Arabidopsis thaliana: one gene and its partners. The protein of the gene in region 1 interacts with the protein of each later gene in a pairwise test. Each region holds a gene or a part of one and is shown in the gene's direction. Other genes may lie near its edges.

The links. The genes of interacting proteins can lie anywhere in the genome.
Region 2: the proteins of CRK19 (region 1) and AT5G47180 interact in a protein complementation assay, tested with the Arabidopsis thaliana proteins (one large-scale study listed by BioGRID).
Region 3: the proteins of CRK19 (region 1) and AT5G52420 interact in a protein complementation assay, tested with the Arabidopsis thaliana proteins (one large-scale study listed by BioGRID).

What each region holds. Positions count from the first base shown.
Region 1 is NC_003075.7:12,169,386-12,174,688, forward strand, and holds CRK19 (cysteine-rich RLK (RECEPTOR-like protein kinase) 19), read left to right. Parts: upstream 1-1,631; 5' UTR 1,632-1,747; coding exon 1,748-2,513; intron 2,514-2,604; coding exon 2,605-2,742; intron 2,743-2,833; coding exon 2,834-2,955; intron 2,956-3,245; coding exon 3,246-3,456; intron 3,457-3,539; coding exon 3,540-3,777; intron 3,778-3,860; coding exon 3,861-4,014; intron 4,015-4,100; coding exon 4,101-4,394; coding exon of another isoform or gene 4,395-4,409; exon of another isoform or gene 4,410-4,555; coding exon 4,556-4,576; coding exon of another isoform or gene 4,577-4,660; 3' UTR 4,661-4,792; downstream 4,793-5,303. Other genes in the region: CRK18 (cysteine-rich RLK (RECEPTOR-like protein kinase) 18), read right to left, coding at 1-670; AT4G23271 (uncharacterized protein), read right to left, coding at 4,559-4,660.
Region 2 is NC_003076.8:19,160,471-19,165,867, reverse strand, and holds AT5G47180 (Plant VAMP (vesicle-associated membrane protein) family protein), read left to right. Parts: upstream 1-1,887; 5' UTR 1,888-2,602; coding exon 2,603-2,663; intron 2,664-3,015; coding exon 3,016-3,086; intron 3,087-3,193; coding exon 3,194-3,275; intron 3,276-3,360; coding exon 3,361-3,476; intron 3,477-3,578; coding exon 3,579-3,710; intron 3,711-4,140; coding exon 4,141-4,209; intron 4,210-4,352; coding exon 4,353-4,484; 3' UTR 4,485-4,859; downstream 4,860-5,397. Other genes in the region: AT5G47190 (Ribosomal protein L19 family protein), read left to right, coding at 1-252, 424-510, 599-732, 1,328-1,436. UniProt on the Arabidopsis thaliana protein: May play a role in vesicle trafficking.
Region 3 is NC_003076.8:21,280,201-21,283,344, forward strand, and holds AT5G52420 (uncharacterized protein), read left to right. Parts: upstream 1-1,572; 5' UTR 1,573-1,616; coding exon 1,617-2,345; 3' UTR 2,346-2,606; downstream 2,607-3,144. Other genes in the region: AT5G52430 (hydroxyproline-rich glycoprotein family protein), read right to left, coding at 2,893-3,144.

The sequences.
Region 1 (5,303 bases):
AGTCGACAACGTTTTGCCGTAAGCAAGTGTTACAATCCTCTGACGAAACGTCTGGTGTGCATTGCATCAACGCTGATATGTTCTTAAAATCCGGCACAAGAGCTATATCGTCTGAGTAGTACTTAGACGAATTGTTCCCCCCTGATGAAGAAGAAGTTATTCCGGCGATCATACTAGAAGTTAAATTATTCCACTCGATATCAAACACAGTCTGATTCGTATTGAGTTCTCCTGTGTTGAATATCGCTCCTAGTGGATCCATGACGAGCAATCCAGAGAAGGGGCGGTTAGCGTAGCGAACAAGGCAAAGGGTTTCTTCACCTGACCAGAAGAAAGCATCTGCCTGGTCCAGACAGCTTTGTAGTAAACTCTCTGATGTGGACCTGATACAGAGAGAGCAAACATCACGCTCAGAACCTGGAGCGCACATCCCGGTGGCAAAGACTTGGTCAGGAGCAATCCCAATCGAACCGATGAAGTAGCCCTCCTGAGCCGTGACGTTAGAAGCTAGAGTAGAGAGGATGAGTCGGCGGTTCTTATCATAAGGACTATTGGGTATGAAAGTCCCAGTAGTATTGTCACAAGTTTGTGCAGAAACAGAAATTGCACTGAAGCTTATGACGAAAAAGACGAAGAAACAGAGGACTAATTCACAACTCTTCGTTGCCATTTTTCTTTTTTCTTGAGATAATGTGTGGGTGGTGTAGTTAGTATTTGACTATTTGTGGTTCTTAGAAATTTAATCATCAGTTTAAAATTTCCATTTGAATAACCATGCACATTAATAAGAAATTGACAACTTTGAAATTTTTGTGCTAGACTTGGACTATGTGAGTCAATCTTTGATATTAGGTTTTGGGGCTTATGAAAGAATATACATGTTAATCATTAGCCTCAATTTCAACGAGAGCTAAAAACCGTGATCGATGCATCATCTACGTACAGAACAAGGAAAAGACCTGCTAGTAGACATGCTTGGAGGATGTGAATGCATTTAATGACTCATATCTAAAAAGTCAAAACACGCAGAAAGAAAAAATTGTCATCTCAAAACACGCAAAAATGATCAAGCTAGATTCGATTTGTTTTCTCCACAAATAAGAAGCATAGTGACTTTAATTTTGTGATGTAAAGTGTAAAATGCTATTTTTCGGTTACGTAAAGACATCTTCGATGGTTACTTCTATATTTTCCTTTATTTTTGAAAAAACTTTATTTTGGAGATGATCATTAGAATACAATTCTTTTAAAATAGAGTTGAAAATGGTTTAAAACTTTTTTTTTTTTAAGAAGCTTAAATTACAGCGTAAATACAATTTAAGACAATATTTGCGGTACTCTCCTCACGCTGATTTTTCATGCTATCATAATTCTGAATTTCTGATGTCCACGAAAAAATAAAAATATAAAAATAATATCTTGTATTAGAAAATTGAGAGAGAGAGAGAAAAGATTCTTTTCTGACAAATAATATCTTATCATATCCAACTAAGTTAGGCTGTTTTTTTTCCTTTAATTCCTGACAAATAGTTTATTGTAATTTAGAAATCGTAACTACTCTCTCTTTGTCTTTTTTTAATAATAGTTATTATTTTGCGCGATACAAGTTTGACATTACAAAATAAAATAAAATAAAACCGGCGTTTACTAAGACTTGTTGGTCTCATAGAAAAAAGGGAAAAATATAGTTCTAGTTTCAAAAATTGAGAGCTACATGATCTGAAACCCAGATCGAGGAAAAGGAACCATGTCTTCTCTGATCTCTTTCATCTTCCTTTTCCTTTTCTCATCCATCACAGCTTCTGCTCAAAATACTTTCTACCTATATCATAATTGTTCAGTCACGACGACTTTCTCAAGTAACAGCACTTACTCCACCAATCTCAAAACCCTTTTGTCCTCTCTCTCTTCCCTTAACGCTTCTTCTTACTCCACCGGATTCCAAACCGCCACGGCGGGACAGGCCCCCGACAGGGTCACCGGACTTTTCCTCTGCCGCGTCGACGTCTCGTCGGAAGTTTGCCGTAGCTGCGTCACCTTTGCCGTAAACGAAACGTTGACTCGGTGTCCAAAAGATAAAGAAGGCGTGTTCTATTACGAGCAGTGTCTGCTCAGATACTCTAACAGGAATATAGTAGCCACTCTAAACACCGATGGAGGAATGTTCATGCAGAGCGCTAGGAATCCTCTATCAGTCAAACAAGATCAGTTCAGAGATTTGGTCTTGACCCCCATGAACTTAGCCGCCGTTGAAGCCGCCAGGAGTTTCAAAAAATGGGCTGTGAGAAAAATTGATTTAAATGCATCCCAGAGTTTGTACGGAATGGTTCGGTGCACTCCTGATCTTAGGGAACAAGACTGCTTAGACTGTCTGAAAATAGGCATCAATCAAGTAACCTATGACAAAATTGGGGGAAGGATTCTTCTGCCGAGCTGTGCTTCAAGATACGATAATTACGCGTTTTACAACGAATCTAATGTTGGAACACCTCAAGATTCATCACCACGTCCTGGTATGAACAGTCCCTTTCCTTTGACTACATATTTCAACACAAGTTTCATACAAGAATTTTGCTTAAAAAATTCTTGCTGTTGTTGATACAGGAAAAGGTGGAAACTCCTCTGTCATAATTATTGCAGTTGTTGTTCCAATCACTGTACTTTTTCTTCTATTAGTAGCTGTTTTTAGTGTCAGGGCTAAAAATAAGAGGACGCTTAATGAGAAGGAACCAGTAGCTGAAGGTAAGCACACCAGTGATAAACATATCTCCTCATAGAATGAATAGTCTGTTGTGCTCTTACTTAATTCAGCTGTTGAAGTTTTCTTTTCCAGATGGGAATGATATTACGACTGCAGGATCACTTCAGTTTGATTTTAAGGCAATTGAGGCAGCAACGAATTGCTTTTTGCCAATTAACAAGCTAGGTCAAGGTGGTTTCGGCGAAGTTTACAAGGTATTATTACCATTGAACAGAGCAATGTACTCTGTTTTTCCCCTGTTTCCAAATCAAATCTCACACACATTACTTCGAAAGTTGAGATGTATGGGATGAGTGCAGCAACCTTGTACTTGCAAAGGTTGTTGCGGAACAAAGAAACTCTAGTCGTTAATTATCATCCTATATTTGTAACAAATACTAACTTCTACTTGTATACTTGCATTTTGAGTACTTCATTTTCATGATTAATCTTACCGACAATTCCTATATACTTATGGTTATCTTAAAATAAATTACTCGTGTAGGGTACATTGAGTAGTGGACTACAAGTTGCGGTGAAGAGACTATCGAAGACATCAGGACAAGGTGAAAAAGAGTTTGAAAACGAAGTTGTTGTTGTTGCAAAGCTCCAACATAGAAATTTGGTAAAGCTGCTTGGTTATTGTTTGGAAGGAGAAGAAAAAATACTTGTCTACGAGTTTGTGCCCAACAAGAGCCTTGATCACTTCCTCTTTGGTCAGTTAAATTTAGTACGTAGCCAAGATATCTTCAAATTGTATGCCATTCTTTGTTCTTAACATTTGAAATACGCTGTACAGACTCTACGATGAAAATGAAGCTAGACTGGACAAGAAGGTACAAGATCATAGGAGGAATTGCTAGAGGAATTCTTTATCTTCATCAAGATTCACGACTCACAATTATACATCGAGACCTCAAAGCAGGGAACATCCTCTTGGATGATGATATGAATCCTAAAATTGCAGATTTTGGAATGGCGAGAATATTTGGGATGGACCAAACAGAAGCCATGACAAGAAGAGTAGTTGGAACTTAGTAAGTATTGCTCTTGCCACTTTTTTTTCATCAATAGACCGTAATACGTTTCAATCAACTAAAAAAAATAAGAATTATGGCAGTGGATACATGTCTCCCGAGTATGCGATGTACGGCCAATTCTCCATGAAATCAGATGTGTACAGTTTTGGCGTCTTAGTACTTGAGATTATAAGCGGCATGAAGAATAGTAGTCTCTATCAAATGGATGAAAGTGTTGGCAACTTGGTTACATATGTGAGTATAAAGCCTTAAAACTTCTAATTTCTTTTTGCTTTATTTAAAAACGTGACCAAAGTCTAAATTATTAAAATGTTCAATAGACTTGGAGACTATGGAGCAATGGGTCGCCATCAGAGCTTGTAGATCCGTCATTTGGAGATAATTATCAAACAAGCGAAATTACTAGGTGCATCCATATCGCTTTACTATGTGTTCAGGAAGATGCTGAAGATCGTCCAACCATGTCATCGATAGTTCAAATGCTCACTACTAGCTTGATCGCTCTCGCTGAGCCTAGACCACCTGGATTTTTCTTCCGAAGCAAGCAGGAACAAGCAGGTCCATCTATTGATTCATCTACGCATTGTTCAGTCGACGAAGCTTCCATTACTCGTGTAACTCCTCGTTGAAGACAAAACTATTCGTTAATCTAAACATTTGTGATATATGATTTTAGACTATTAAGATCGACAGTGAACAAAAATTCATGTAAGTTAAACTGGTTTTATTGTTTATTTTCTTTATAAATTCTTTAATTAACAAGTATTCATTTCAGTGGTCAAAGCATCAACAATAGAACAACAACTGAACAAGGAATATGAGCTAGAAAAGTCACTGGAGGACGATTAAGAATCTTGACGGTCGTCCTCAAACTACTCATCCAAGAAGCGATCTACACCCATCTATAAAATAGTGATTCTTTAAACTTCCCTTGAGATCTCGTTTGTTACTTGTTTGATTTCGTACATCAATAATGATCAAGCTAGATTTGATTTTTCTCCACAAATAAGAAGCACATTGAGTTAAATTTTATGTTGTAAACTTAAAATGCTATTTTTCAGTTCTGTAAGAATTTCTTTGGGAGAAGCTTCAATTATAACGTAAAGACAAGACTATTTTTGAACTTTGAAGTACTCTCCTCACGCTGATTTTTCATGCTCTCATAAATGATAAATATGACAACTCCACGAAAAAAATATGTATATAGGATTAGCAAATTTAGAGAGAAAAAGAGAGAAAATTAAACTTGGAAATGTGTAAATCAATGAGTTTTGACGAGGAATTAAAGTTTTTTTAAAAAGAGCAAATTACTGACAAATAATTTATCGTTATACAGAAATCGTTAACTCTTTTCTTTTGGTAAGGCTATAAATAGTAACTTAAACTTCTCTCTTTGTTTGAAAGAACTAGCTATTGTTTTGACATTACAAACTAAAATTAAATAAAACCGGCGTTTACCATGACTTTCTTTGATTGACTTATAGCCGTCAGAAGAGTATGAACCATCCTCAATTTCGCGTTAA
Region 2 (5,397 bases), on another chromosome or scaffold:
TCAGTGAACTCAAGACTATCAGTTTCTAGGGTTTTTCTCAATCATTCGAGCTCCAATTTTGGTTTCGCCATCGATTCCAAGAAGAGAAAAGAGTTTATCGCTAAAGCTGAAGAGAGTACTGAAGGTGAAACTGAGGCTGTTGTGGAGAATGCTGTTGAAACTGAAGCGGAAGGAGAAGGAGAAGCCACTGTTGCGGCGGAGGAAGCTAAACCTCCGTGGAAGACGAGAGTCAAGCTCGGAGATATCATGGGGGTTAGTTCATTATCCAATGTGATTCTATGAGATTGTCTAGTGTTTTGTTTTGGCTCTGAATCTGATTATACATGTCTGATACTGTAGTTGTTTTGGCTCCTGTTCTTAAATCATCAGTTATCTTTTAGGCATTGGAGAAATGAAATGTTGATTTGCTTTTTGTTTCTGTAGCTACTGAACAAGAAAGCTATTGAGGTTGCAGAGACTGTAAGACCGGTTCCTGGACTTAGGACTGGGGATATTGTAGAAATCAAACTGGTAAAACTCATTGTCCCCGTATAATCTTATGCAATTTATGCATTTAACTGCAAGATTTTGATACGACATGGTGGGTTTGATTTTACAGGAAGTTCCTGAGAACAAACGTAGGCTATCTATCTACAAAGGTATTGTGATGTCTAGACAAAATGCAGGCATCCACACTACTATCCGTATCCGGAGGATTATTGCAGGCATTGGTGTTGAAATCGTCTTTCCCATGTAAGTTTATTCTTCCTTAACTATCCTATTATCACACACTTACTCGGGTATATTGATAAGTATAAATGTAAATAGTATTAGATAGTCAGAGTTAAGGGTCTTTGACCTTGTTAAGGAGTCTTTTGGCTTTGAGAGAGATTTTAGGAACTCTAAAACAAACCGGAATTAGCTTCTTTTATCGTGAACAGTCATAGTCTTCGCTTCTTGAGAACTTAAGAGATTTACAATTCTATATCTGATCATATGTATTAGCTTTCTTCACGAAAAAAGGAAATAATTGCTACTCCAAGTATGATACTATAGGAACTAGTACATAAATGCTGGAAGTCTTAGCATTATAGGTCACCAAGCTTTGTGCTTATTTACTACAGAAACGCGCACCAACCTTTAATCTTAATCACTCTAGAGTCTAGCCGTTATCATAACATACTAGTCCCTATGAACTTTCCAGTACTATTGGCTGATTCTACAATGAAGTAATATGTAACTGATATGTTTTGATCTTGAACAGATACTAATCTACACAATCAAGTAATATGTTTTGATCTTGGTTTAGAATATGTATCTGATGTGATGTGTGTTTTGAATTTAACAGATACTCTCCCAACATAAAGGAGATAAAAGTGGTAAGTCACAGGAAAGTGAGAAGAGCAAGACTTTACTATCTGAGGGACAAACTTCCTCGTCTCTCAACTTTTAAATGATCACCAAACCCAACACCAGTCTTGTCTTGTGTTGTCTTCAATCTCCAAAGGTAGCTAGCTACTCTCTTTTCTCTTGTAATAATTGTTTGTTTGTTTCGTCTTTTGGATTTCATTTCTTTTCATGTAATTTACAGTAACAGTAATTTAAGAAAAGTAAATCAATGTTGATTGTTTTGATCTTGAGTATGTAGAATCTGGACCCTTTAGTATTCTTTTTCAGAAATATGACTGATTTAATCATTAAAATAAAACTTTTGAATCATTGAAATTGCTTTTCAAAATAGATTTTTTACATGTAAAATCATGTAATTCATTCATGTAAATGAATTTTCCAGCTAAAGCAGGAAAAAAGAAACGAATGATTGAGTATTTTTCTTGTCTCTTTCCTCTGTATGATGACTTTTATGTCCGATAATTAATTACTTGCTAACAATCAATCATTAATGGACACGGAGAAATAAATTTAAAATATCATCAATCGTGAGAGACGAAAAATGGCCTACCACCCTGAAAGCTCATTATAGCCTTTTTAGCCACTATATAAAATCAAACACCAATCAATATCTGCCACGTCATCATCCTCTTTTTTCCAGCCTGTCGCTTTTAACCTTTGTTTTTTCGTCTCTTACAATGCACAACTGTTTTCACACGTGTCACATTTTTCCCTCTCTTCTCTCTCTTTCGCTCTTTCTTCTTCCCCGCAGTTCCCGGAGACGACGCCGGAGGAAAATCGTACGGAAACTTTGCTTCGACTTCACGTGGCCGCTCCACGAAGCGCCTTTGGGTTTCGTCTTCCCCGTTTCTCTTTCTCTCTCTTCTTTTGCCTTTGTTACCACGAATAGAACGAGAGGAGAGAGATAGGAGGAGAGTTTTGGGATATTGGTGGAGAGCGATTATCGGGAGAGCCAGAGAAAAAAATAAGCAGCTTCTTCCTCCCTCATCGTTGGGACCGTGACTTTTGTTTTCTTCAGGTTTGATCCGTCTTTTTTTCCTCTCTTCATTTCTCAGTTTTTCCCCTCTTTTTACCTTTTCTGGAAAAAAGTTAGATAAAATCGGAATTGTTTGGATTAGGGCTTCGATTTTTTGATGTTGTTGTATACTTTTTTCAATAGAGATTTGATTGTGAAACTTTTGTCGTCGTAGCTTTAAGCAAACAAAAAAAAAAGATGACCGGCGTTGGCGAGAATCAGCTTATCTCCATTCAACCTGATGAACTCAAATTTCTCTGTAAGCATTCTTCTACACTCTCTTCGTTAATCAATGGCATGCATTTGTCTCATCTATACTTGGTTAATTCTAGGGATATCTATTCTTAATTTGTGAAATGTGAATGAGAAAAGGCTTCTCTCGAATTTACCATCTTTTTGTTCTCTAGAGATTTCGAAATTGTGTGTATCATCAATGCTTGTTTTCCTCTTGTTTACATACACCAGCATCAAGTTTTTGTTAACTTCTTTGAGCTTTTGAGGTTCTGACTTTAGATAAGGCTGATTCTCTTGGTTATTAAGAAAATTGCTGTTTGAAACTTTTTGGAGGGTCTTCCTTTGGATGACATTTGGAATTTTTGATTTTGTTTCAGTTGAACTTGAGAAGCAAAGCTACTGTGATCTTAAAGTTGCCAATAAAACAGAGAACTATGTTGCTTTCAAGGTAATTTCTGCATCAAACCACCAACTTCATATGCTTTGTCTTGTGATCAAGTTATTTCGTTTGTTACAATGGCTTCTTTCTTTTGTGTTTTTGGCTTCATCAATCAGGTGAAAACAACATCTCCAAAGAAGTATTTTGTAAGACCTAACACTGGTGTCATTCAGCCATGGGACTCTTGCATCATTAGAGGTATAGTAATTCCTCATACTCTAACTTCTTTCATTAGCAGTTTAAAACTTGAACATGGAGATGATTAAGATCTTCTTAATTATAGTTACTCTACAAGCGCAACGAGAGTATCCTCCAGATATGCAGTGCAAAGACAAATTTCTCCTGCAAAGTACCATTGTACCTCCACACACTGATGTGGATGAACTTCCTCAAGACACTGTAAGAAATCCAAGTTTAAAACTTTTTTTATTAAGATTCTTCTTGTTTCTGCAGTTTTTGGAAAACAAATTGACATTATATATGCAATACTTGTGTGTCTAGTTCACCAAGGACAGTGGAAAGACATTAACAGAATGTAAGCTCAAAGTCTCTTATATTACCCCGTCTACAACCCAAAGATCCTCTGAATCCGGAGCAACAAATGGTGATGGACAAAGCTCGGAAACCATCTCTGTGAGTACCCACCTATATTATTTAATCTGCATGTGGTAATGATTTACTTAGTATGTTGACGTACCATGGACCTCTTGCATAGACAGACACCTTATGAATAGTCCCTTTTTTGTGATACCTGTCTGCAAGAATTATTATTCAAAGTTTCAATCAAATTTTAGACTTTCTAGTATTCGCACTTTTGGTTTTCAAGCTATAGATACTGTAATGACAGACTGAGTTGATTGGTTGGGACAGTGAGACATACGCTGGTTTTCAAAGCTTTAATTTTTTGTTTGGGTTATTATTATACCTTTCTTCATAAGGTGAACAAATGTATCTCACAGAACCTCACAAGTGGCCACATTCATATCATAATTTAAGAAAGATTAATTCGTGTCTTGTTTTAATCCTCTTTCTGGACGTTTATACCATCAATATGTATGAACAGACTATACAGCGGCTGAAGGAAGAGCGAGATGCAGCCGTTAAGCAAACACAACAGCTGCAACATGAATTGGTACGCTTCCATGAACCTTTTCCTTGATAGTTTAGCATTGGTTAATGCTTGCAATCATATTACCATTCAGACAAAATCATGTGAACATAACAGTGCTTAATAACAAAGGATACTGCCTAAAATGTTTTTGAACGACATTGCAGGAAACGGTAAGGAGGCGGAGAAACCAGAGGAACAGCGGAAATGGGCTATCCTTGAAGTTGGCAGCTATGGTTGGACTCATCGGACTCATCATCGGTTTCATCCTAAAACTTACCTTAGCTTCTCCCACATAACAACTCTTGAGCTTCAACACATCGCCTATCATCTCAATATATGTAACAGCCGAATCAAAACAGATTCACATATTTTCGGGTATTTTAAATCTTCTAAATTTGGGTTATTTATATCCCTCTCTTTCTTTCTCCTAATGTTCCACACGTTTCTTCCATCAAATTTTCTTCTTTTTTTCAGTTATAAATTATGTACATTTTTGACCCAAGAGACCCTTTCATCATTGGTTTTACTTGTCCACTTTTTCAATCCTCTTTGTGCTTTATTGAAGATGGCTAATCCTTTGTATTGTTTACCCGTTTGTGAAGGAATTCTGTTACAATTATTTTATCGATCATTGCATCACTTAAATGAAAGGTATAATTAGCCACCAGGTCTTTAAATGAAAACTTGAGCATATGAGCTTTTGTTTAAATTTATGAATATGGTAGTGTCTTCTCATGAATATATGCATAAGATTACTTCATCAGAAAATCACTAAGGCTTTATGTGAAGAGTCTCAAAGTCGTAAACAAAAAATATTAGTAATAGCAAGTTAACAACAATTGAAGAAAGATTACGGTAAGAAAACAGAATCGAAACTCTCAGAGAGCAGTAACTGCAGAATTTTTAAGATATATTTTAGTAATGATTATATTTTATTACTTTGCTAAGTAAGTAAGATATATTTTAGTAATGATTATATTTTATTGAAATCATGAATTTTTAATTTGAGGAAACACTAGAATATCAATTGTTAGGGAAAAATTGGATTTGTTTTTAAAAAAGAGATATAGAGATTATTAACTATAGATGACAAGATTTTTAAATAATTTACCTACCAAAATTCATCAATCAAATTTGTAAAAATATATCTTTATTATATATATATATATATATATATATATATATAATCTTGTTTGTGATATTTCAGTG
Region 3 (3,144 bases), on another chromosome or scaffold:
ACTTTATGCAATAATATTTCTGTTAAAAAGAAAACCTGCAGGAAATTGATTATATATCCAAAAGGGAACGACGAGGACCATGGAAGTGGTTATATTTCAATGTACGTAGAAATAGACAGCACATCTGAAGTTTTTGCATATGTCAAGTTCTTCGTCTACAATAAGAAAGAACAAATGTACTTTACTATTCAAAGTTGTTGGTTTAAAACATATCTATATTATTCAATATTTATATTAACTATATAAGACTTGTTCATTTGTCACATATGTCACGTTGAATTACTCCATTTTTTCTAATAGATACTGAAGTAAAGCGTTTCAATGCTTTAAGAATGGTATGGGGATTCTCTCAAATGCTTCCTCTCCACTTATTCGAAAATCCAAAAAATGGATATATATTCGACGGGCAAAAATGCGAGTTTGGTGTTGAAGTGATGGTTGTTCCACCCCTTACCAATTGGGAAGTGATGTCTTTTGATCAGAAACTCTCACCATCCACATTCTCCTGGAGTGCCAATGGTTTCTCCTTATTGACAGAGAATCTTTATGTGTCAAACAACTTTTCAGTTGGAGGAAGAGAATGGTGAGGCTAATAAGTCATTGAATATATATACACGTCTATGTATGCTAAGTGTATACAAAATAATGTGACTTTTCTATAGGTGTTTGAAGATGTATCCAAAGGGAAGAGAGGCAGATGGCAAATGGTTGTCCTTATTTCTGCATATATATAGCTGATAGTGAAACCTTTTCGGAGGATGAGAAGATTTACGTGCATGCAGATCTCCGAGTATTATACCCACGTCCACATGTATACAACAATCACGTCACACAGAAACGTATAATTAACTTTGAAACACAATTTTCTATATTCTTGAATAAATCACTTAGTTGCTTTTTTCAAGTCTTAACTAAATTTTCAATACCTTACATATATTTATTTTTCTTGCAGTTAACGTCTGTTACAAGAAATCAACTCAAGGGTGGGGTTGCGAAGATTTTGCGGCTATAGCCATCGGGAGTGTAATTACTTGGACAATGACACTTTGACATTGGAGGTCGAATTTAAAGTTGTTTCTACAACCAAGTATTCTCACCCATGATCTAAGCTCTTCTTGTAGAATATCTACAATATTCCATATTCTACTACAAGTCTAGTAATCTACAATGCCTTGTTTCATACGATTTCTAGTAATTAGTTCCTTTTTAGTTAAATCAATTCTACAGTTTATGGTTCCGGATTCATTTCCTGCTAACTAATTATATCATTTTTTATAACTAGTAATCATTGAAGCTTATAATTGAAATCTATAACTACAAAGCCTAGTGCACTTACGTCCAGAAAGCCAAAATAATTAGGCTTCCTATTAACACATATATTTATATGTTTCTTAAGAACTTTTACGAAATTACCTGCATGTAGTTAAAATAATAAAATCTAAACTAATTGTGAGCACAACAATAATCCGCCACGTCTTCTAAACCTCTTCCATTCAAAACTCTTCACTATCCGCCACGTGTCCCCTTCTTCACACTCTTTTTATCTTCCTCCACCTCTAAAACTTTCTCACCACATTTTCCCGAGAAAACAAAAAAAAAAAACTTACACCAAAACGATGTCTGGAGGTGTCGGTCCAACGTACAACGACATAACCTTACCCAAAGAAGAAGAAGAAGAACATCAAACCCAATCCACCTCAACAGTATCATCCACCGGAAAACCCGCCGGATTCTTCTCATTCCGACAACTAAACATCCTCGCAATAATCATCGTTCTCTCCGCAAGTGGTCTCGTAACAATCCAAGATTTCATATTCACGATCCTCACTCTCATCTACTTCTTCTTCCTCTCGAAACTTATCTTCCCACCACACAACAATCCAAACCGTGACGCTCCTCTCACAAGCTCCACAAACAAAATCTTCCGTATCTATGTTACAGCGGCGGGGATCGTCGGGCTTATCATTCCGATCTGTTACATCTTCGAAGGAATCGTTGAGGATGATAAGAACGGTGTTAGCGCAGCTGCACCGCACGTGTTTCTTTTAGCGAGTCAGATTTTTATGGAAGGATTAGCGACCATGTTTGGCTTCTCTGCTCCGGCGAGGATTCTTGTTCCGATTGTTTACAACGCCAGGAGGGTTTTGACTCTTGTGGAGTGGATTATGAGTGAGTTCTCGAGGGAGGATGTGACGGGGACGGTTTCTGCGCGGCGGATGTATGCCGGGAAAGTTTTGGCGGCGGCTAATTTAGGGATTTGGTCGTTTAATCTCTTTGGTGTTTTGATTCCGGTTTATCTACCCAGAGCGTTTAAGAGGTATTACGGTTCTGATAAGGAGGATTGAAATCCCGGTTTAGTTCCGGTTCCAATAAGGAGAGTCAAAACCCGGTTTAATTCCTTTGTGGTTCACAGCTCTTGTTGTTTTCCCTTTTTGTTCTGTATATTATTTCGATGTTTTCTTTTGAACAATTCAGTTTATGTAGTAGTTCACAGTTGTATTAGATTTCTTACGATAATAACCGAATCTATGTTTCTGAAAGAACAGAAATGAAAATGTTTTAGTAATGATATAGAATAAGACCATTCACGATCTCAGTTCAAACAATATATTTGTATGAAACAGTAAAACAAGAAATAAACAATTTATATCAATGTAACAAGATTAGATGTAGGAGCTGATCCAAGAATATTCCAAAGTTTCCAACTACATGAGTACAGAAGTTAACTGCAAATCAAAGCTTTAAGCTTATTTATTCAGTGTGTATAAGTTGTTAGAACCCAAATCTCTTACCTTTTTTCACGATCCATGTTCAAGGTTTGTTACTTATAGGGTTTTATATCTCTGTCTTTGGTAATGAGGAAGAAGAAGAAGAGATGTCATTTTAATTTGGTTAGCTGACTCCAGATCGTAACCCCGGGAAGAAACTCCAGCTGTTTCCTGCAACCTTCTCGATATTCTCGTCTTTCGTGTTGTCGAATTTAAATTCTTTGCTAGATCCAATCGATGAGGAACTCAGCTTCTGAATTCTATGCTGTTCGTTCTCTCTGTCTCCTGACCTTTTCTCTATGTTTCTTCTTATGTCTGTTGATGAACTCTCCTCTGTTTCGATCCGGTCATTGTTGTTCATTCTGTCGTGTGATCG